3 linked regions of the Callithrix jacchus genome follow. The protein of the gene in region 2 interacts with the protein of the main gene of each other region in a pairwise test. Links are inferred from orthologs where the notes say so. Each region holds a gene or a part of one and is shown on either strand. Other genes may lie near its edges.

The links.
Region 1: the proteins of TRIM41 (region 2) and FRA10AC1 interact in binary tests that used the Homo sapiens proteins (3 or more experiments, as listed by UniProt). The two-hybrid records come from large-scale screens. The link is inferred for Callithrix jacchus from reciprocal best matches to the Homo sapiens genes TRIM41 and FRA10AC1.
Region 3: the proteins of TRIM41 (region 2) and GPATCH2L interact in binary tests that used the Homo sapiens proteins (3 or more experiments, as listed by UniProt). The two-hybrid records come from large-scale screens. The link is inferred for Callithrix jacchus from reciprocal best matches to the Homo sapiens genes TRIM41 and GPATCH2L.

Annotation. Positions count from the first base shown.
Region 1 is NC_133513.1:86,405,015-86,412,503, forward strand, and holds the end of FRA10AC1 (protein FRA10AC1), read right to left. Parts: intron 3,593-7,489; coding exon 3,514-3,592; intron 2,437-3,513; coding exon 2,394-2,436; coding exon of another isoform or gene 2,360-2,393; 3' UTR 2,241-2,359; downstream 1-2,240. UniProt on the Homo sapiens protein: May be involved in pre-mRNA splicing.
Region 2 is NC_133503.1:73,616,796-73,624,455, forward strand, and holds the end of TRIM41 (E3 ubiquitin-protein ligase TRIM41), read right to left. Parts: intron 5,533-7,660; coding exon 5,437-5,532; intron 3,246-5,436; coding exon 3,015-3,245; intron 2,500-3,014; coding exon 2,477-2,499; intron 2,277-2,476; coding exon 2,149-2,276; intron 1,745-2,148; coding exon 1,143-1,744; 3' UTR 994-1,142; downstream 1-993.
Region 3 is NC_133509.1:111,079,666-111,087,845, forward strand, and holds the start of GPATCH2L (G patch domain-containing protein 2-like), read left to right. Parts: upstream 1-2,815; 5' UTR 2,816-2,885; intron 2,886-5,206; 5' UTR 5,207-5,216; coding exon 5,217-5,878; intron 5,879-8,180.

The sequences.
Region 1 (7,489 bases), on a different chromosome or scaffold from region 2:
TAAATACATGAACTCTGCATAAGAGCAAGTAGAAGAAAGCATAACTTCAACACCCCAGACCAATGGTCTGCTGACCACCACTGACTGCACCATAGCAAAGTTTGAGATAGATATGTAGGAGGATTACTTTTTAAATCATGTTAGAGGCCTTTTCAAGACTCCCGAAAAACATGACCCCCATTATCTGTCATTGTGTATGAATAGATTAAATGTTGTGATTTTATATAAATTTATAAATGAGCCTGATGTCATAAACCATACTTGAAATACCAAATATACTGATCTATTTTTAAAGGGTCTTATATATTCTTCCTAGTTAAATTCCTAATTTAATTTTGCAGGAATTTTATTTCCCGACGACCACTAAACAAAGGACATATTTTACCATAAGAATGTTTAACTGCATATATTCTACCACGGATATCAATCTTGCTGCTGGACATTTCAAGCACTTTTTCCTCAGAAATGTAGATTCGTTTTTATATACTATAAGTAGTGAGGTGAAAAAAATCAGTTTATTCAAGTGAGGGGACTATCAAACAATGTTAAATACTGATAAACCCAACACTGATTAACTTTTCTGAAAGAGGTTCAGAAATGATTGCATAATTACTTCCCAGCTAGTTCCTTTACGGACAAGCCCCGCTCAGTGCCTAACACATAATAGAAGCCTGATAAATATTTGTGGAATAAATAACAACTTTTTAATAAAATGAAAATACCTGATAATAATCATTTTAAAATAAGATACCAAATTACTTATTTTGGAGTTTAATGCCAATCATTCCATGTTTAAATCTTCAATAAAATACTTGCTTATGTTATGATTATTTTCTATATGTCTTTTCTCTTATTCATCAAGTCAAGCAACTTCTCCTATATCTATCCATCTATTTGCTCTTTATAAAAGCAGGTATTTACCTGTTTTCAGAAATCAATAAATCCTTTTGAAAACTTGACATTTATGGACTTCCTCCAAAAAACATACCATAGACACAGAAGTTTACACATAGATTCTAAAAAGGTATGGATCTCCTGAAGCATCTCCATAGACCCTTATGAGTAAGATCTTATGTTAAAAAGTTACATTTTATATTTCTTCATAGAAGATGTATTAGTCCATTTTCATGCTGCTGATAAAGACATACCCAAGACTGAGAAGAAAAAAAATTGTAATTGGACTTACAGTTCCACATGGCCGGGGAAGCTTCAGAATCATGGTGGGAGGCAAAAGGCACTTCTTACATGGCAGCAGCAAAAGAAAATGAGAAGGATGCAAAAGCAGAAGCCCCTGATAAAACCATCAGATCTCATGACACTTATTCACTACCATGAGAACAATATGGAGAAACCGTCCCCTTGATTCAAATTATCTCCCATTGGGTCCCTCCCATAACACGTGGGAATTTTGAGAGTACACATTCAAGATGAGATTTGGGTTGGGACACAGAGCAAAACCATATCAGAAGCATATTCATAATTTTATGAGTGTATCCAAGGTAAGCTATATGCACACAAGATTATTCAGTTAAATTATCTCATTGCATAATCTCTGTTAAGAGAGTCAATTTTGTGAACACATGCACTATTTTAGACTACTAGGACCTCACTGGCTCCCTGTGGTAATCATTTACTTAACAGTAAATTATCCACAGGCTAAGAAGTCAAATTTGATTATAACAAACTCTCTTAAGTGGTAGAGATAAGAAAGAAGCAAGAGACAGGCAAGCAAAAAACCCCAAAAAGCAGCTGGAAATAGGTGGGAAAGCAGGTGCTTAATAAAAGGGTGCCAGTTTATCAATGGGAAAGAGGTTAAAGACATACATAATCTACTTTAATCCTAGTAATTTAAAATAATTGACAGGGCTCAGTGGCTCACACCTGTGATCCCAGCACTTTGGGAGGCCAGGATGGGAGGAATGCGTAAAACCAGGAGTTTGAATACCTCCCTGGGCAACACAGGAGGACTCTGTTTCAACAAAAGAAAAAAAATTTAAAAAAAACAAACAAATCCAATATGGTGGCTTAAAAAAAAGAAAAAAATAATTAAAAAAAATAATGAAGGCAAGAGAGGATAAATATAAATCAGTGAAAAAAATATATAGGAACAATGGAATCTGTACAGAATATGAGCTCTGTCCCCTAGGAGCTACAGATAAAACAGAATTGTAGGTAAGCAATTGAAAAGATATTTAAAGGATAGGGAAGTCTTTAATTGAACTAATGAATTTCCAAAGTAATTGACATTATAAGAGAACCTGGATTTTTATTTCCAAAGACAAACCATACAAGCTGTAATTTGCAGATAAAAACTTACATAAAATTTCAAAGTGTATGAAGTTTAAAACTTCATAAAGTTTCACATTAAGGAGCGGAGGCTTCTTTCTCTCATCTCACAGAAACAAGTCTTGAAAATACTCATCGAATTCTTCTTCCCTATTTTTTAAAAAAAGCATACATATTAAGATCAATAGAGTAAAAAATTACTACATGACACATTATATAAGATTAATAAAATAAAATAAGTTAACATATTGGCTGATTCTGCTATATATCAATATATTCTCACTATTCAGCCATCAAATAATTCTTAGTTTCTAGAATAATCATAACTATACCCAGTTTAAAATAAAAATATTTCATATGTTGGTACCTCTCCCTAAATGTATTCCCCAAAATTTTGTTTTGAAATACTTGTGAAATGTCATTGCTTCTCTTTACTTTTTTGTCTTACTTTATCACTTCTTTGTTCATTCTCATTTTAAACTATAGTCTCCTCAATAAATACATTTTGAAAAACTATTTTTAAAGAAAAATGTAAGTTTAGGTTACATTGGGGAATAACTAAGGGGAGTTGGGTAAATCTGCTTAGGCTGTAGTTCTTTTACTACTCTGAGCATAGTAAATATATTATGTATTTGTAGCAGTAGATATTATTGTTTTATTTTTTTAAAACAAAAACTAGTATGACAGCAGTGTAGAAGTGTACTTCCCATGCAAGGGGCTCCATTGCATAGGTTTATGATAATCACAGTATCATGGAATAGGCTTCTCGGATACAGCCATCTCTGAAGAAATCCAAACAAGGACCAGAAGGTCATCTTTTAAAGTGAACTGATCAAAGATTTCTTTACCAGGAGGAAGCTGGACCTGTTGGCTGCTTATGACAATGGCTGGGAATACGCTCTAATCTTACCAGGCTAGGCAGTCCTGGGCATTAAACAGATCATCATAATGTTGTATTTTTTCATTAATAAAGCCACGATTATAGCTTCTAAACTGATTTAAAAGGTACATATCATCCAAAAGAAATTAGGCGGGTATGGCGGTGTGCACTTCTAGTCCCAGCTACTCAGGAGGCTGAGGCAGGAGAATTGCTTGAACCTGGGAGGTAGAGGTTGCAGTGAGCTGAGATTGCACCACTGCACTCCACCCTGGGTGACAGAAGGAGACTCTGTCTCTACCAAAAAAAAAAAAAAAAGGTATGTATTATCTATTAATATCAGCACTTACTGTGATTTTTCATCTGTCTCTGGTAATGGACCCTTCCAAAGTTCAGATTCCGAAGTATTTTCTTCCTTATCAGAGTTTCCTGTTAATTTAAAAGAGATGATTTTTAAAAAATGTATTATATTTAAAACACATTTTTAACTATTTACCAATACAATTAACTTTTTACTTAACTGAGCTTCAATTTTTATGGCTCTCCAGAAGTTTAATTCACTCTCACAGGTATGATAAATTCTTTTGAAACATATATAAATAAGCCAACCAGAGTCTCAGCAAAAAGGCCAAGGATTTTTAAGTCTCATGGAAATTCTCTAAGTTACACTGAGTTAAAGTAGCAATTCCAATATTAACTTTTGTAAGAGAATTATCTCTTGCAATATAGTTGTCTCTGATCTAGCTTCTTCTTTTTCATGGTTCTGCAGAAGACATGCAAGTTAAGACTTATACTTGTAGAGAACATGTTTACATTAGAATTAGCACCTTAAGAACTGAGCTAATATGTAAGACCAGCTAAATTATTTTTTTTTAATTGTCAGACATTTTAAAAAACCAGTGCTGATTACATAATTGGAAGAAGTCTGTTTCAGTGAAGAAACTGGCATTCTCACACATTGCTGGGAGTGAAAATTCTGTAAACCTACTTCTTGAGGAAAATCTGGCAATATAGATAAGTTTAAAACACATACCCTTTGACCAGCAATGCTGCTTTTGGGAATTTGATTATTGACATAGACAAATAAGCACCTCTGTTACATAAGCAAAGATGCACACGGTATAACAACAACAAAAAAATCCAACCTAAATTACCATGAAGTAGGGATTAAGGACTGGTTAAATACTATACAGCTGTTTAAAAATATCAGCATATCTGTATGTACTGCCATAGAAAAATGTCCATTCTATATTAAATTTTTTAAAAGTTACAAAAAGTATGAATAGTATAACATATGTTAAAAGTATATACATGTTATATACATACATGTAATTTTATATATGTATTATAAGTTTGCAAAAACCAACCAAACTTAACAGTGATTATACTACCTGTGGATTTGGAATACTTTTACTTTCTATTTTAAACATTTCTAAATTATTTGTATTTTAAACAAAGACCATGTATTACCTTCAAAATCAGTAAAAACAATATTTTATTTATAAAAACATAATAAAATGGAGATATTTCAAATAAATCACCTGTATTAGTCAACTAAAAATTTAAAAATACTGCAAAATTATCAGGCAATAACACCACATTCCACAAAGTAGTTAAATCAGCAAACAATTCCTCTCCAATAACGATTATTAGTCTAAAAAAGAAATGGTACGAATGTGGCCTGTCAATATAGAATGTCCTTTAGTTAAACACAACGTAAAAATAAAACAGCATTGATTTATTATGGTGGTTCTAGCCTTTTACCTGTTGGACTCTGAACCTTGAATCAACATGTGTCTGAACTTTGCTCCTAACTGAATCTATTCTGGCACCAATTCTAGCAAAAATAGCAAAAGGGGAGAGGGCATTTTGTATTCTAATGATCTACATACAAACGATAAAATTTCAATCTTGAAAACAAGATTCCAGGCTCAATGACAGCCATCACTGGAATGGCCAGTGTCCCAAATTTATAATATGAGGGGAAAAAGAATTAGAATCTTCTCTTATTTTTATGAAAACTCACTAATAAGAAAAACTAACTAGGCTAGTAAGGTTATTACTATGGTGTTACTCTGTTAATGATGCCAGAGAACAAAACCTACAAGGCCTTTAGAAGTGGACAGCTAATTTCAAAAGGATTGACTCTGTTTTCTTATTCTCTTCCAAGAGTACTCCCCACATGCCAGCTTTCTTACACCAGTTTTCTGATATCAGTCAATCAATTTTACTAAAAAAATAAAGTCAGTTTAGAGTAACACTATAAAATAACTGTCTTTAAAAATACCCACTAAAAATGTGGCCAGATATCCCTAGAGAATCAAGTCTACAAGACTGGACTAAATGACCTTTACGGTCCCTTATAACCCTATGAATCTACAGTATCCTGGTTCCCTGAAGGTTGGCAGTCACTACAAATCATTGCTATCATAACTGTTACAACCTACCAGAAGCGGGACAGGTATTATAAGGAAAGAACAACTGGAAGAACAGGCAACACAAAAGAATGCATCACTGGCAAATCTATTCAGTACTTATTGGGAAGTAGTGATCAGAATTTAAGTCACTGACTCTGAGTTGAAAGGGGAAACCCAGAGGTAATTTAATCCAACACTTAGCCAATGAATGAACCTCTCACTGCAACACCTCCAATAACAAGTGGCAATCCAATCCATGCTTGAACACTCACTACTCCAGAGGTAGCCCATTTCTCCATTCCTTTTGTCAGACAGTTCTAAAGGACAAGTTTTTCCTTAAATTAATGCAAAAGTCTGTCTTTGAGCAGTTCTGCCAACTCAGAGTCGTAAAAAATAAGTCTCCTACGTAGTAGCAGCCTTGCAAATGTCCAGACAGTAATTTCCATGTCTACTTCCTCACCTCTTCCTTCCCTTCCCTTCACTCGTCTCCCAGGTCAACTTCTGCAGTTCCTCCAACATTCTCCCTAAACACAATTTCAAGTTCTCTCAATACCTCCGTTTTTTTCTTCTTGATCTGCTTCAAGTTTTCAATGTTCCTTTAGAATGTGGTGCCTAAGACTGCATACAATTTTCCCTGTATATTTTGAATAATGAAAGCAGGCCTATCATCTTGGCTTCTGTGGCTATTACAAGAAAACTAATAACTTGCCCTACTGAAGAAATGGCAAATGTTTCCAATAATCATGATAACAAATGGACAGGTCAGATTTTTATAGACTTAACTTTTCATTTCATCAATTCTAGAGAACAAACACAGGATTTATATCTCTGTATTTTTCTTTTCTGATAATAACAGCTACGGGTTATCAAGGACTTACTTTGTGTCAGCACATACTTTACATGTATGTTTTCTCATTCAATTCTGATAATAATCCAACAAAGTAGGTCTCTTTATACCCATTTTACAGACAGAAGTGAGGCATAGATCAAATCATTTAATGTGGATCTGTATAATGCATACGCCAAAACTAGGGTATAAAGAATAGACAGACAGTTGATTTCACTGATGAACAACTGATTGATGATGCAGATAAAGGGCATAGACTTTGGAATTATAAACTTATGTTTAATCCCAGCTCTGTCATCAACTACTTGACCTTGGACATTTTACTTCAATTCTCCGGTTCTTGGGAGATGTCATGTGCATGGTGACTACAGACAACAATACTTGAAATTTGTTAAGAGGGCAGCAAATCATCAGTATACTTTAAATATATGCATTTTTAAAAATTAAGTTTCTTCATTCATTTAAAAACATTCTCTAGGTCTTGATTTTTCTCATCTACAAAATGAGAATATTATATGCCCATTATTAAGATTAAATGAGGTAACACATCTAAAGCACTTATTACTGAGCTGACAGAAACTGAGTTTTTCTCCATGGCTTTGGTTTTAATAACCCATATGTTAAATGGGTTAAGAAGGTAACTGAGTATTACCCAAATGGAAATAAAACAAACAGCAAAATGTGAGGTCTGAAATTGCCAAGACCATGTAATACAGATGGCTGACTGCCTGAGAGGATATTTGGGGTTGGCATACCATAACAATGTCAATGTTTCCTGCTTGCTATGGTAAATAGCTTTCTGGCTGCCAAATAGCAGGTCAGCTTGAAATGGATAATTTGTTTTTTCAAGGCCAAATTAAGCTAGAGGTTTTTCAGACTGGATACAGTCTTCACAGTATTCACCCTGCTGCTACTAGTAAATATTTCACTTAGTTGAGGAGAAGTAAAACAGAGTTAAGGGTTATTTCTAGGAGGCAGGGAAGGATTCACAGGGTAGGGGTGAAAGACAGTGGGAGGGAGAAGGCAGGCAGAAGAAATAAAAGCATAACATAAATCAGTGAT
Region 2 (7,660 bases):
GGAAGGAAGTGGCAAACATCTCTAAATGTTAGTAAATTAGGTAGGATATTAAAATGGGGAGCAGGGTCTATATCCCTGTTGATAGGTGGTAAAAGATGCAAAACATGCCTTAGTTCTGTGGCTTCTCGTTGAAGGGGAAGGGAAGGAAAAAACCCTTAGCCATATCCTTATCTAATGGAATGGACCTCACAAGAGAAGCAAATATTTTATTTCCATAGCACCCCTTCCCTTTTCCCAAAGAACATGAGTTCACCTCAGCCATCAAAGCAGAGGGCAAAAGCTGATAAGTGACAAGGCAAGGCGTTACTAGAAAAATAGATTATACCCAAGACTCTCCTCTTGGGGACCCAGACCCCTGTCTTCAGGCTTCTCCTCAGGGCTTGCCAAATGGAGGGAATTAAAGATATGGAAAGGAATTGGAAGCCAGGTCTGTTGAACAAAGGGGAAAGGAGCCTGGCACTGAATAGACCTGGATGGGGGGTGAGGTGGCATAAGCTTTGTTTCTCAATTGAGTGCTGGAGAAGGGAAACGGGAAGAAATAATTTATTGGGCGATGTAATGGTACGTGTTTGAATCATGGCGACCATTCCAGATCTCTCAAGTGAAGCTAAATTCTGGCTGGTCTATGGAGGTAGAAATTGAGGACGGAAGGAAAGTTTGCCTCCCTCCCCAAATGGCTTCCAAATCCCTCAGCTAAAATTTGCATCAGAAAATGGAACTGGAATGGGGACGCTGTCTCACCCAAATCCTCCAGCCTCAGAACTGATGTAAAGGTTGAAGGGCATGGATGAGGAAAAGGAAGTTAAGGAATGAAATTGCAATTTCCCCTCAACCCCTACTCAAATTCAGGTCCCAGGGCTGGGCTAGGCAGACAGGGAGAGAAGACCAGGCAGCTGTTCTCATTACCAGGGACCCATGCAGACCTGGTGGACAGACATAGTAGGTGAGAGAAGGCTTAGCTGGAGGCCAGGAGGGTTCTTTAGGCTCCTAGAGGTAGAAGCAGGGGCCTGGGGTCAAGGGGGAGTGGGAAGCAACACTAAACAGTGGGAAGAGCCTTTGAGCCCTCCAACTTATGGGCCACCCTCCTCCACCACCCGCCCCCCAAGTGCTGACCAGAGGGGCCCCTGCGGGTGGCAGGATGATCAAGGGCAGAGCTTGATGCGGGTGCCCTTGGAGAGCACCCGGAAGAAAGGAAAGACACGCTCACCCAGGAATGCAGCCGAAAAGGTGTGCACGTGGGCTAGAGTCTCTGCGTTGTAGAAGCCCAGGCGCCCAGCTTCATAGTCCAAGTACACACCAAAGCGCCGTGGTTTCTCACTCGGGCTCAGCAGTGTCTGTTCTGTTGAGCTCTGGGCCTGGTAGCGTTTGCCATTGGTGCCCACACACCACACTTCCCGCTGGAGCAGGGGCTGCTGGGGTAGGTGGAGCCGGCGACGGCGATGGTGATGGCGCGAGGAACTGGCATCCCCGCTGCCCATGGAGGACCCCCCAGGGCCAACCTTTTCCTTATGATGGGTTGATTCACGGGCAGCACCCACCGCCCAGCCCCGCCGCCCGCCCACCTCTACCTCCCAGTAGTGCCGGCCAGAGCGGAAACCCTGAGCCCCTAGTACACAGCAGTCGGCCGAGAAGCGCTTGGGATGGTCAGCAACCTCCTGCCGCCGCTCTGCCAGGCGGACCCCCCGGCGATCAGGGGACAGCATCAGGGCCGGGTGAGCCGTGTCAGGGTCCAGCGTCAGGTCCACTTGGGGGGGGGGGAGGACAAATATGCCAGAGCTAGAACAACTGTTCCCCTTTCAGCAGCCAACTCCACAGATTTGGCCTTTCCTGCCTCCTTCCTGAATCTAGCTCCCCACACCATCCTAGAGGCCAGCCTCAGATTCCACCAGGTTCCATCTTGCTCCTCTTCCCAGGATACCTACAGGTCTTCCCCTAGCCCCAGCTCTTCTTGCCACTCCACCCCACCCCCACCCACCAGGCCTGCCTGGACTAGGACTACCTGCTCATGGTTTGAAACCTCAACCTCTGAGGTTATATCCTGCTCCGTCTCAACCCCCACAATTTCCCTGGGGCTCAACTTCCCTCAGGACCCAATCTAGGGTCTATGAAGGGAAAGGCAAAGGAAGGTCGTGGAGGTGACCTCCCTACCTCTCGCAGCCTGACAGAACATCCGGCTCATTTTCCTCACGATGGCGTCTGTCAAGAAGTCATGGCTATGGGGTTGGCACGGGTCAGGGGACCAGACCTCTGGGGGCTGCAGCTGTACCTCTTCACACCTGGAGGAAGGGGACCGGGCAGGGGGTGGGACTATGATATTCCCAGAGGGAAGAACAAAAGCTGAGGGGAAGGAGAGGAGGGTCCAGGAGGTAGAAACTCAGGTCCTAGGGAAGGAAGGAGAGGAAAGGGATACCCAAGAGAGGCAGGGACAGGGAACCAGATTCCACTGGGTCACAAAGGGTAAAGAGTGGGAACACACCTATTGAAAGTCTCCTTGATGTCCTGGGAATAAGAGAAACAAAAAGAGGGAGAGGGAGAAAGAAAGAGAGTGTCAGCTGCATAGGGACAGCTTTCCCCAATCTCTAGCCAGAGACTGAACCTGAGCAGGAAGGGAGAAGCAGCACCTTCACGGCCTCAATAGACACACATCATTTCAACCACCCCATGCCTCACCATACCTAACTCGTCTCTTCCTGCTGTAAGCCCAGGAATACTGTCCTTTCCATAATATGACTTGCTCTCCTTTTTTGGGAAGTCACTGTCAAAAATCCTTTCCTCAACTGTCATTTAAACCTCTCCTACAACCGAATCTTTCTGTTTTTCACTGGGTATAATCATCACACATACCACATTCGACATTAACTCTATCTCGAGCTTTAAAAAATGTTTTTGGTCTTCAGGTTAAATCATTGTGGGTTCCTCCCAGTGAGAAGCAGCAGCTCTGGACAGGTGTTTGGTAAGCACTGCCTGACAGCCAACAAAGAATGCTAGGGGAACAAGGAGTGGACAGTGCTTACCTGGAGCAGCCGGAGACCCCCCTGCTGGCTCCGCTCCTGGGCCTCGGCCAGCAGGCGGCTGAGCTGGGCGGCCTGCTCTGCAAGGCGACTGGCTGCGGCTCCCGCACGTCCCAGCTGGGCTTCATGCATCTCTCGGAGACGCCGTTCCAGCCCTGCCTGCTCTTCAGCCAGAAACCGTGTCAGCCGCCCAAACTCTGAGGCCACTGCTGCTAGCTCTGACTTCATCTGGCTCTGGAATGGTGCAAAGGGGATGGTAGATGCCACCTCAACACATAAGAAGATAACCTCCAGTTTTACAACTACCACTTCACAAGGCAAGGCAAAGAGCCCTATACTCCCCAGGTCGAAGAAAGTCCTAAAAAGAGGTTTATTTCCTACCAGACTTACTTCTCAGCCTTACCAGATGCCACCCCCTTGCTTCCAGCACACTGGTCCCAAACTCACCAACCTCTGCCTGGAACACTCCTCTCCACATGGTCTAACTTGACTCATCCTTCAGGTCCAACCTTAAATATTCCAAGAGAAGCCTTTCCTCTTCTCTAGATCTAAATCGGGACCATCCCCACAAATATCTTCTCTAGATCTAAATCAGGACCATCCCCACAAATATCACTGTTTTCTCTTTGTGGCACACATAATATTGAAACGTTGGGCCAGGCGCAGTGGCTCATGCCTGTAATCCCAGCACTCTGGAAGACTAAGGTGGGCAGATCATGAGGTCAGGAGATTGAGACCATCCTGGCTAACACAGGGAAACCCTGTCTCTACCAAAAATACAAAAAATTAGCTGGGTATGGTGGCATGCGCCTGTAGTGCTGGCTACTCAGGAGGCCGAGGCAGGAGAGTTGCTTGAGCTTGGGAGGAGGAGGTTGCAGTGAGCTGAGATCATGCTGCCACTGCACTCTAGCCTGGGCGACAGAGCAAAACTGTCACACACACCACACCACACACACACACACACACAAACACACACACACAAATATTGTGTTTACAATGACATATCCTTTAACATCCTTTGCCCCACTGTACCATAAGCTCTCACTGGCAGGGACTAAGAATGTCTTTAGTTTGCCACAGTGCCCTCAGACCCTGACATGGCACCAACCGGAGTAGGCACTTGGTAAAAATTTTTTTAAATGAATAAAAGAATTCAGGAATCAAGACATGAAGTTAGGGTCCTGACTCTACCATTAAACACAGTGACTTTAAGAAAGTCACCCAAAAGCCCTAGACAGGACTCTGAAAAACTTTTTCTGTAAAGGTCCAGATAGTAAATATTTTTATGCTTTGTGGGCTAAGAGGCAAAAATCAAGGATATAATGTAGATACCTAATATCCTGTAAAAGAAAAATCTCCTGCCCAGTTCCACCCCATTTGCCAAGAATGGGCCATCCTGGGTGGTGGACATACTTTTCACCCAGTTACCATCAGCTGGAGACACTGTGAGTAACAGGCCAGAGTAGGGTCCTAACTGACTAGATGCGTGAGGGGAATAGCCGCCACAGTCAGTTTCACTCTACCCCAGGGGCACACAAATCCTGTTACCTCTATACCCAGTAAAGCCCAAAAGTATCAACTTGGGCAGCTGGCCAGAAGCAAGATGATGTCCTACTCCCAGACGGATTCTAACATTCACTGCCTAGCAGCTGCCAGCAGCAGTCCCTAATGTTTAGGTGGCAGTGAGCATGGGCCCCGGGCAGTGGCAAGGCTCAGGCACTGGCTGGGAAGGGAAAGGAAGAGGGACAGAAGGGGAGGTCTTGGCTTGGTCTATGAAGCTCATAGTTCCAGCCCACTCCAGCAGGGCCCGCTGGGTTTATGAAAACAGGCCGGGGGTGGGGAATGGAGAAATATCTTAAGACTCCTTGGAGAAGGGTGAGCAATAATTTTAAAAAAAAAAAAAAAAGGGTGGGGGGGTTCTGAGAAAACACTGGACTAGGAAATATTCGGTCTCTGCAATGCTAACATACACTAATTCCTGCCCCAGCTTAAACACACTGGTCCCTTCCCGGGACACAGCAAGTGTCCCAAGACCGTGTCAGGCTCATCTCAGGGCTTCTCTGCCCACTGACTGCATTGATCCTGGGGCCAGCAGCTTCTCTGTTGGCTGCTGTGTGGGTTTTGCTTTGCCCACTTCAAGCTCTGGTGTCTGGGTAGAAAGCCTGTTCTGCAGCCTTAGGCCAGAGACCCAGCCCCTTCAATCCAGGCCTCAGTTTCCACTCCATTTTGGAACTCAAGAATGGACATGCCTACGGATTCTCTAAGCCACCTCTCCTCAGTACCTAGGAAAAGAATCTACCCCTCTCCCAGGCATTGGCTGTCCCCTCCTCAGGGGACCAAGTCACCACTTGTGAGATGGGCAGCACCACCTTCCTTGCCTTGACCACAGACAGTACCCATCAGCCCGTCAAGGGCATTCACTCACTTTCAGCTCTGTCACTCGCCTCTCCTCCCTGGCCTTCATCTTCTGCACAGCCTCCAGGTGCTTCCTCAGTGGTTCCAGGTGCCCCTGCAGTTTGGCCTGAGGAAATAGAAAAGTGGGGGCTGGGAGAGGCACCTGCCCCTTTAGAGCTGACCTCTGCAATCCTCCCTACAGCAAGTTGGGCCCCAAAGCCTGATCCCTACCCACTCAATGGGTGTCAAGTATCATATTCCTTCCTCCACTTTCTTCTTTCAGGTGACAAAAGCCTCCAATCCCCTCTGTGCAAGTTTGTAGAGGCCCTGTGTATTCTCTAAAGCTAGGAGCCTCAAAACTAGAGAGCCCCCAGACTCACAGCTGAGGGGGAAGTAGCTTGAGCCCTACATCAGTCTCTCCATGAGTACTCTTACCTTTGGTCCCTGCCCCCTTCACAGGCAATCCTCCCCAGACCTTTTCTCTTAAATACTTTTCTAATGATTTTCTGCCTATGCTAAAAACCCTTCCACGGTTCTCTACCAACTTCCAAAACATCGATCCCAAACTTCTAGCCTCACCTCTACACTCAACGCCTTCCACACAGACTCTTAAGAGGTTTGGCTATATAAAATTACTTGTCATTTCCTGATTATCTTTCCATGCTATTTCCTCTGTCTGAGACTGCCTTTCTCTACTTGGCCCAAGGTATTCTTCCTTTGAAACACAACTCCCTGAAAATGGCCCTGATCCTCCCCATACCCAACTTCCCTGTGATCCCAAGAAACATCTAATACATTACTTCACAGGGCACCAATAATTGACAGGTGTGCCTCCTCCAGGACACTATGGAGTCCCTCCCCACACTTTACTTATTTCAATTTCTGTGCTTCTGCTCATCTGTTTTCTCTCCTGCTCACTTACTTGCTTGCTAAATGGGACACAAAAACAAAACCCCTCTTCCAAAGGCTGTAACTGTCACAGCCAATTGGCACATGAGCTCTGTGTTTCCACAATTTGTAGTCAAATCTTTTTCTTTAAGGGGCTTTTAGCTGGGCTGGGTGCGGTGGCTCACACCTGTAATCCCAGCACTTTGGGAGGCTAAGGCAGGTGGATCACAAAGTCAGGAGATCAGGACCATCCTGGCCAACACAGTGAAACCCCATCTCTACTAAAAATATTTAAAAAATTAGCCAGGCATGGTGGCTTATGCCTGTAGTCCCAGCTACTCAGGAGGCTGAGGCAGGAGAAATCCCTTGAACCCGGGAGGCAGAGGTTGCAGTGAGCTGAGATCTCGCCATTGCACTCCAGCCTAGGCGACAGAGCAAGACTCTATCTCAAAAAATTTTAAAACAAAATAAATTAATTAATAAAAATAAAGAGCTGTTAGCCCAGAAAGAGTGGAATAAGCCCTACCTATTTGTTCTTTCCTTTTTTATGTTTTCTACTAGCCTTTCTCTCTCATTTTCTTTGAGAGATAATATAGGGTAGGAGAGTCCAAGCCTACACTCCCATGACCAGAGTGAAATGAAGTGACCTCAGGCAAGCCATACTTTCAGTTTCCTCAGCTTCAAATAAGAAGAGAACATACCTCAAGGATAGTACACTTAGTGCAGTGCCTGGCATGTAGCAAAAGACCAGTAAATGTTACCTATCTAATATTTGCTACTTATAGCTTAAGCTGCCAGTGACATCCTGATAATGACCCCTGAACTAAAGAGGTTACCAAGCCAGAGGACAAACGGCAGTTGTTGCACAGAATAAGTGGTTAGAGACAAAATTACAGCAATAATGGAATTAGTCAACTCATAACATGAAAACAGCATAAACTATACAAAATTTGGCCTTCTAACTTCCTACTTTTCTACAGTAGTCAATAATTTCTCCATTCGTTCAGAATTTATAATGCTTAAATTTACCACTTAGTGTTTCTTTATTTTGAGACAGAGTCTTGCTCTATCGCCAAGACTGGAGTGCAGCAGTGCCATCTTGGCTCACTGTGACTTCATCTCCACGCACTGTGACTTCCATCTACTGGGTTCAAGAGATTCTCCTGCCTCAGCCTCCCAAGTAGCTTGGATTAAAGGTGCCTGCAACTACATCCGGCTAATTTTTGTATTTTTAGTAGAGATGGGGTTTCACCATGTTGGCCAGGCTGGTCTTGAACTGCCTACCTCTGTCTCCCAAAGTACCGGGTAACAGGCATGAACCATCGTGCCTGGCCCCTAAATTGTTGCCAAAACCAAAATTCATAAGC
Region 3 (8,180 bases), on a different chromosome or scaffold from region 2:
TCAAGATATGACTGTATTTGGAGACTGGACCTATACAGAAGGGATTGAGTTTAAAATGAGGCTGTTAGGGTGGGCTCTGATCCAATCTGACCGGGAGGCTGAGTGATCTGCCCTCCTCAGCCTCCCAGAATGCTGGGATTACAGGCATGAGCCACTGTGCCTGGCCTATATTTGACATTTTAAACTGGAAATGCTGGTGAGGTAAACAAGTGGAGATATCTAGTAGAAAGACAAAAATATAAGTTGGATTTCAAGAAATTTGGGAGCTCTCAGTGCTGATGCAGGCAACCAACACCATGAAAACAGAGATGATTTGTGGGAGAAAATTTTCATTTATGCAGAAAAGAGGCCTGATGGCTGTGGACACCTGTTGAATATTTCCATATTTGTGACTCCTGTGGGAGTCACAAATTCAGCATGTCCAAAATGGAATTAATCATCTTTCCACCAAACCTGTTTATCTTCTTGACTTCTGTAGCTGGGCACTGACCATTATCTTAGTCATCCTAGCTCGAAACCTTGGCTATCTTTGTCTCCTACCTTGACTTTTTACACAATGTTTCACCTATAGAAAATTCTGAAAATACACACACACACATACACACACACACACACACATGAGATATAATCATTGATAATGAAACTTTTGGATGTTGTGTAGTGTATTCTTCTGGTCATACGCCTATGCAAGTATAGATTTAATTTCCTTTGTATGTGACTCATACTCTACATGTTTAATCTTTTTATTGAAGTATAACAGTCATTCAGAATTGTACACAATCATAAGTCAGTGGCTTTTCATGTCATTAAATATTCTTTTGCAACACCAATTTAAAAAAGTTGCAAGGTATTCCACCATAGAAGTACCATCATTCAGTTAACTAATGCCTGTTATAGAACTTCTGGCTTTTTCTAGTTTCCTCATCTCTCCCTCAAAAATGCTGCAGAGATAATTTACCTATATTTAACATTTTTGTGCCTATTTTCAATTTTCCCTTAGAATAAAATTCTTAGGGAAAAATTTCTGGGACCAAGGCATATGCATATTGTAAAATATTTTTTTATTTTAGGATAGTTTTAGGTGTAGAGAAAAATTATGAAGATACTACAGTTTCTGTATAATCCACACAATTTCCCCTATTATTCACTCTTTTTTTTTTTGAGGAGTCTCGCTCTGTTGCCCAGGCTGGAGTGCAGTGGCTCTATCTCCGCTCATTGCAACTTCCACTTCCCTAGCTCAAGCTATTCTCCTGCCTCAGCCTCCCAAGTAGCTGGGATTACAGGCATATGTCACCAAACCCGGCTAATTTTTTGTATTTTTAGTAGAGAGGGGGTTTCTCCATGTTGGCAAGGCTGGTCTCTATCTCCCGACCTCAGTGATCTGCCCACCTCGGCCTCCCAAAGTGCTGGGATTATAGGCGTGAGCCATCGCGCCTGGCCCAATACATTATTATAGTTGATACTTTATCCAGTTTTCCTTAGTTTTTACCTAATGTTCTTTTTTAAATTGCAGTGTCACAGCCAGGATACCATATTACATTGTCATGTCTCCTTAGGCTCCTCCTGGCTCTGAGTTTCTCAGACTTTCCTTGCTTTTGCTGACCTTAACCATTTTGATGAATACTGATCATGCACTCTGCAGAATGTCCCTCAATTCAGGTTTGTCTGATTTTTCTTTTCTTTTCTTTTTTTTTGAGATGGAGTTTCGTTCTTGTTACCCAGGCTGGAGTGCAATGGCACGATCTCGCTCACCGCAACCTCCACCTCCTGCGTTCAGGCAATTCTCCTGCCTCAGCCTCCTGAGTAGCTGGGATTACAGCCACGTGCCACCATGCCCAGCTAATTTTTTGTATTTTTAGTAGAGACGGGGTTTCACCATGTTGACCAGGATGGTCTCGATCTCTTGACCTCGTGATCCACCCGCCTCGGCCTCCCAAAGTGCTGGGATTACAGGTGTGAGCCACCACGCCTGGCCTGATTTTTCTTTTCTTATAATTAGACTGGGGTTATGAGATATGGAAGGACACTATCATAAAGTGCCATTCTCATTACATATCATTCCACATACTATCAACATGATTTAGCACGTACTCTTGGTCACCTGGCTGAATTACTGTTTGCCAGGTATCCACTGTAAAATTACTCACTTTCCCCTTTTCATATGTTGTACTTTTGGGAAAGAAGTCAATATGCAGAGCCCACATTTAAGGAGGTGGAATTTATGCTCCAGGATGGTGTGTCTGCATACTTTGAGATTCTTCTGTGGGGGATTTGTTTCTTCTCCAATCTTTAATTCATTCAGTCGTTTATTTATATCGGTATGGATTCACGAATATTTCTTTTATACTTTGAGTTATAATCCAGTATCACTTGCTCAAGGCAGTTTGTAATGTTCTGAGTAACTCAGTGCAAAACAACCCCCCCAAAGGTTGTACCAGCTCACAGGGCAGATGTCATTAAGATCCATTTCCCCTCAACTTCGCACACCCTTTATAAAGGTCAGAAAGCAAGGGGGAAGCTGACAACCCTCCCTAGCGTCAATTTCTGGACGCCCCTAAGGAAGATGAGGCCAGCCTGCTGGAGTAGTTCCCAACACGGGCACCTCAGCCCCTGAGGCGCCCTTTCCCGGCCAGCCCCTATTCACCATCCTTCCTTGGTCCCTGCCCCATCTCCCGGCTTCCTGCAGCCCCGCCCACCTCAGGGCGGAAGTGGGTGTGGCCACGGGCGGAAGCACTGGGTCGGGGGCCCGCTCTTGCAGCCAGCCCCACCCACTCGCCGCCGCCCCACCCCTCCGGCCCAGAACGGAAATGAGGTCAGAGAGGGAAACCCCGGCGGTGAGAATCGGCCCAAAAAGCGGCGGCCGTTCGAGGTGGCTGCGGCAGCTGGTGAGGGGGTGGAGTGGGTTGAGAGTGTTGGGGTCCTGAGGGCTAGGGCCATAGGGGATCGGATCGCCAAGCAGCGGCTGAGCGGCTAAGGGCGTCTTGGGGCTGCGGCAGCCGGCCGGAGGGTGAGGGTGGTGGGGCCTTGCTTTTTCAGGGCCCATGTCCCTATCCCTGGGGGTGTGGGTCGGACAGTCTCCGGGGCCACAGCCCCCTTTTCCCCTTTCTTTCTGCCTCTTTGGGGCTGGCGGCAGCATGAGGGCTTGGGAAACGGGCCATGGTCGCTCCAGCCCTCAGGGACGGGCCGGGGCGTGGTGGAGAGTCCTTCGAAAACAGTTTTTCTCACATACGTGGCCATGTTGCGACCCCCGATCCCGGAGGGAGCTCAGTCGCTACGACTTCCATTTTGGCAGTTTCTGCTCTAGAATAGCCGAACCCCGTCCTTGGTGAGCCCAAATGAGAAGTTGTCTCCTGCCTCTCGCATCTCCTACTCCGCCCCTCACTTCCACCCTGCTCCTGCCTCTCTTCTTACTTGCTGTCCGCAACTACCAGTTCCTTCCTGTGCGTGACTCAGCCTCATCTCTACCCGGGTGCATGCCTGGTCGCCGAGTCCTCTCGAGAGTGTGCACTCGACTGGAGATGGAAGCCCTAGGGACCTTCTGTCACCTACTGTTCGAGTTGCAGGCTTTGATGCAGGAAAGGATTCTGCACAGGCATTCGACTACTGACTTCGTTCCCTGTTCAAGTTTGTGCTGTTCTGAGGTTTTTGTTTGTACTTTTGTTTTTGTATTTTTGTCGCCTGAGTTTTTAAAGCAGTAATTCTTTATTAGGGAAGTGGATTTAGGCATGCTGTTCCCACTTGTTTCTCTATTTTGGTCTTAGGGACAGTTGTCTCCCAAACCTCAATCATGGCATTTTTAACCAGCTCCCCCCCCCCCATTTTTTTTCTCCTCTTTTCACAGGTGTTGATAAATCACTTCTTATTGCTTAAAAGAACTTGGCCTTTTAAAAGTGTATGTGCCTTTGGACAGTTTGAGAAGCTTTGTTTGTATGGCAGTTTTGGAAGTAGGTGTCACCATTGCTCCTAAAGGTGTGGCAGATAAGCCAGAGGACTGTTTTCCTGCCTTTAAATTCATTGACGTAGGCACGGCATGAAAATAGTATTTAGAAAACGCTTTGCAAAGTGAAAACTGAATGAATGGAAATATGGTCAGAGTGGCACCACATAGAGTTTTAAGCTCTAGTTTTGATCTTGAAATACTTTGGGCACAGGGGCAACGAAAAAAGTGCTAAAAATTTAATATGTATTTAATTAGGTGCTGTACAAATTATATTAAACATTTCCCCTTAAGAGGGAATTTTGAAGATTGCTCCTACTGCTCTCGTTTCTTGAAATGTTTGCCTCTGAAGTGACTCCTGAAGTGTGATGTTTGGTTTGAGGATGGATAGAAAAATAAGAAATTTTGGAAAGCAGTTCGGCCAGAAATCTTAGAAACTTCAACTTATCCCTGTCATTTCAGCTGCTGTCGTATCATTTTTTTCCAGTGATTGTGTGGCACTGAAGCACATAAGTAGGATGAACATTTATTTTCTGAAGGATAGGAAAGGGGCTTAAAAATTGTTAATTACTCAGAAATATATGACATACTATATGAGGTTCTATACCTGGTAGCTTTCAGGTGGTAGTTGCTACCAGAATGGGTGCAAACTTAGTCTATTCTCCTTTCTGACTTCAAACCTGGGCACCACAATTTCTTGGATCACAAAAACTGCAGTCTTCTTTAAAGGGTGTCACTAAGTTGTCTTTCTGCCATGGCCATGGAAGGCAGTGACCCCAGGCCAAAGAGCAGTTTTTTATTCATTCTTAATACTCGTTGAGACTGTGTCCTGCTCTGTGTTTCCACAGCTCTGCTGTGATTTTGAAGTTGTGTGTTTTTCTACTCCTGTCTAATGACAATCTCTAATCTTTCTGGATCTCATCATTAGGTAATTCAGTGACACGTTTAATTGGGGAAAGAGAGACGGGTCTAGTTCCCCAAATTTGTTTTGGGTCCTGTCCCAGTTGTCATCTGGTGAGCAGGTTTTTGTGCTTAAGGATATGTTGACTTCAGTCATTTAACAAGGGACAGAACACCTATTTTTAGTGACTTAAGGAAGTGGTAGGAACAGAATCTAAGTGTAGCCAGATGAAAGGTTACTTACTTTGTTTAGGCAGGCGGAACTATGGACTACTATGATCTGTTTTATCAAATTATTCCAAAACAACAGATCCTTTCAGGCTCTCTTTTTCTTTTTCTTTTTTTCCCCTCTGAACTTCCTTTTGGGAGATGTGGCCTCATGGATGAGCTGGTACACGACTTAGCATCAGCCTTGGAGCAAACATCTGAGCAAAATAAGCTTGGTGAGCTGTGGGAGGAGATGGCCCTGAGTCCCCGGCAGCAGAGGCGGCAGCTTCGGAAACGCCGAGGTCGGAAGCGTCGTTCTGACTTCACTCACCTGGCAGAGCATACCTGCTGCTACAGCGAGGCCTCTGAGTCAAGTCTGGATGAGGCCACTAAGGACTGTCGAGAAGTGGCTCCTGTGACCAATTTTAGTGACTCTGATGACACAATGGTAGCCAAACGACACCCAGCTCTCAATGCCATTGTTAAGAGTAAGCAACATTCTTGGCATGAATCTGACTCCTTTACTGAAAATGCACCTTGTCGACCACTCAGACGCAGGCGGAAGGTGAAGCGAGTGACATCAGAGGTGGCTGCTAGCCTTCAGCAGAAGCTGAAGGTGTCAGATTGGAGCTATGAGAGAGGCTGCAGGTTCAAGTCTGCCAAGAAGCAACGTCTGTCCCGCTGGAAGGAGAATACTCCTTGGACCTCATCAGGCCATGGGTTGTGTGAATCAGCAGAAAATAGGACTTTCCTAAGCAAAACAGGAAGAAAAGAAAGGATGGAGTGTGAAACAGATGAACAAAAACAGGGCTCTGATGAGAACATGTCAGAATGGTGAGATCTCCCTTACTAAGTCAAAGATTTTCTTCGTTAATTTTACCCAAAGTGCACATCCGTAGTCTTATGGGCTCTACCTTCTTTCAAACCAGCCACCCTAGTATTGACTTTGAAGCCTTCCTTGAATCAATCAGTAGTTTAGCTTTTTAAGGTACCATTCATGAGTCTATTTCCTTCTGTCAGGAAGGAGACACAATTGTTTCTAAAAACTGTTTAAAACACATACCTCAAATGCACAACTAATAATTTTATGTAAAAAAAATTTGCTGCTTATTATGCCATGTAGTTTGTACATAAATATTGTTCTTTAGAACTCAGGTTTCAGCAGAGGCTGGTATGTGAGTCTGTGAGAGAGAAAATGCTAGTGCAAGGCATACCGAGTTTGTAAATGTTCTGTTAAGTTGCCTGTCCCCATTAAGAATCATGGCTTTAGATACTTTTTGGCTATAATTTTATTCTCTGCTACTTGTGGTTTGACTATATTGAGTTTATTTTTTTATGGCTGGCATTCAAGTCATCTGAACACGTGGTGGGCTTTGAAAATAACAGTGCCAAGTCCCATTAGTCTTCCATCAAATGTGATCAAGCCAGAAAAATTTGTCTCTAATGGGTGCATGTTTAAAAATGTAAGTGTAGTTTTGGTGACTTTTTATTTTTTACATCTCAGATAGTTCTAGGAACATTGATACTGATTATCTTTTTCTTAATAGTGAGGATTTGTTGGTGTTTTGTATGGGACAATTCTTTATGGTGCATTGCAGCGTATTTTAGCATCTCTGCATTGTTCACACCCCCTGTTCCTTTATGAACCCAGAAGCCTCTGGGGTGATCCCTAGGTGGGCTGAGTACAAGCATTTGACAACCAGTGTATTCTATTACTGTTAATATTAGTTGGCATTTGTTAAGCACTATGTGCCAGACACTGTACTATGGACTTAACATATACTATCTCTCTTTTTTTAACAGAGTCTCGCTCTATCACCCAGGCTGAAGTGCAGAGGTGCAAATTTGGCTCACTGCAACCTCTGCCTCCTGGGTTGAAGCAGTTCTCCTGTTTCAGCCTCCTGAGGAGCTGGGACTATAGGCATGGGCCACCTTGCCTGGCTAAGTTTTGTATTTTTAGTAGAGACGGGGTTTCGCCATGTTGGCCAGGCTGGTCTTGAACTCCTGACCTCGTGATCCACCCGCCTCGTCCTTCCAAAGTGCTAGGATTACAGGTGTGAGCCACTGTGCCCTGTTGGACTTAACATGTACTCCTATTTAATGTTCACAATTCCACTATATGGTGGACACCACTATTTATTTGTATTTATAGAAGGGAAGTTGAGGTTATAAGAGCTTAGATAATTTGCCTAAGGTCATCCAGTGCCAAAACTGAGCATCAAGCCCGATTCCAAAGTGCATTCTTAACTGCTAAATTGTGCTGCCCTTTAAGTCGTTTTGTCTCAATTTAACTTTCCCAGTTGCAGGACATATGACCTTCCTGAAACTTGTCTTAAAAACCAAGGTGTTAATCTTAGGAACTCTGAGGTGAGGCTGTGTCAGTAACAGGAAAAACTGTTTAGGTCTGTATGCCTGTACCTCTCATGGATGGTTTTTAATCCAGCTTTTAAACTTTTTCTTATTAACTTTATATTTGCCCCTCTGTAAATTATATTGAGATAAGCTCATAATTTGACTTTCCTAATTTTCCTCTAATGTCTAATTCCCTTTAAGATTTATACAATTTATCTGTATATATTTGGATTATAAAGATATTTTTTCCTCAGACTATTTTTAATCAAACAAGAAATGCATAGTCAACTTGTAGCCTTTCACACTATTGAAACCCTCTATCAAGACATTCAAGTTTGTTTTAATATTGAGCATATATACCAAATAGAAGTCCTCTTAGTGTTGAGAATGGTGATTTTAAAAGTAGCCTTTTGGGATGATAGCCTTGTGGTATGTTTCTTCCCCAGAATTTCTTGTTAAAGTACGACATAATTGTGTGTGTGTGAGAGAGAGACTTAACTCTGTCTGCTCTGAGATAACAGCCCAAGTATGTGGCTCCAGATGCAGAGCCTGTAATCCAGCAGTGAGATGCTTCACCCTTTTCTGTTCCTTCTTACTCCAGACACATCTGTTGATCATTCTAGTCAGGTTGTGATAATATAAATTCTAGTTATCTGAGGGTCTGGATAAACGTAAGTGGATGGGAATTCTTATGAAATTTTTACTCTTTTCAAATTGAGGAGACCTCATTCCCCCGTTTGGGCTATTACCCTGGCCCCTCACTTCAGAGTAGGCTTGTAGCTTT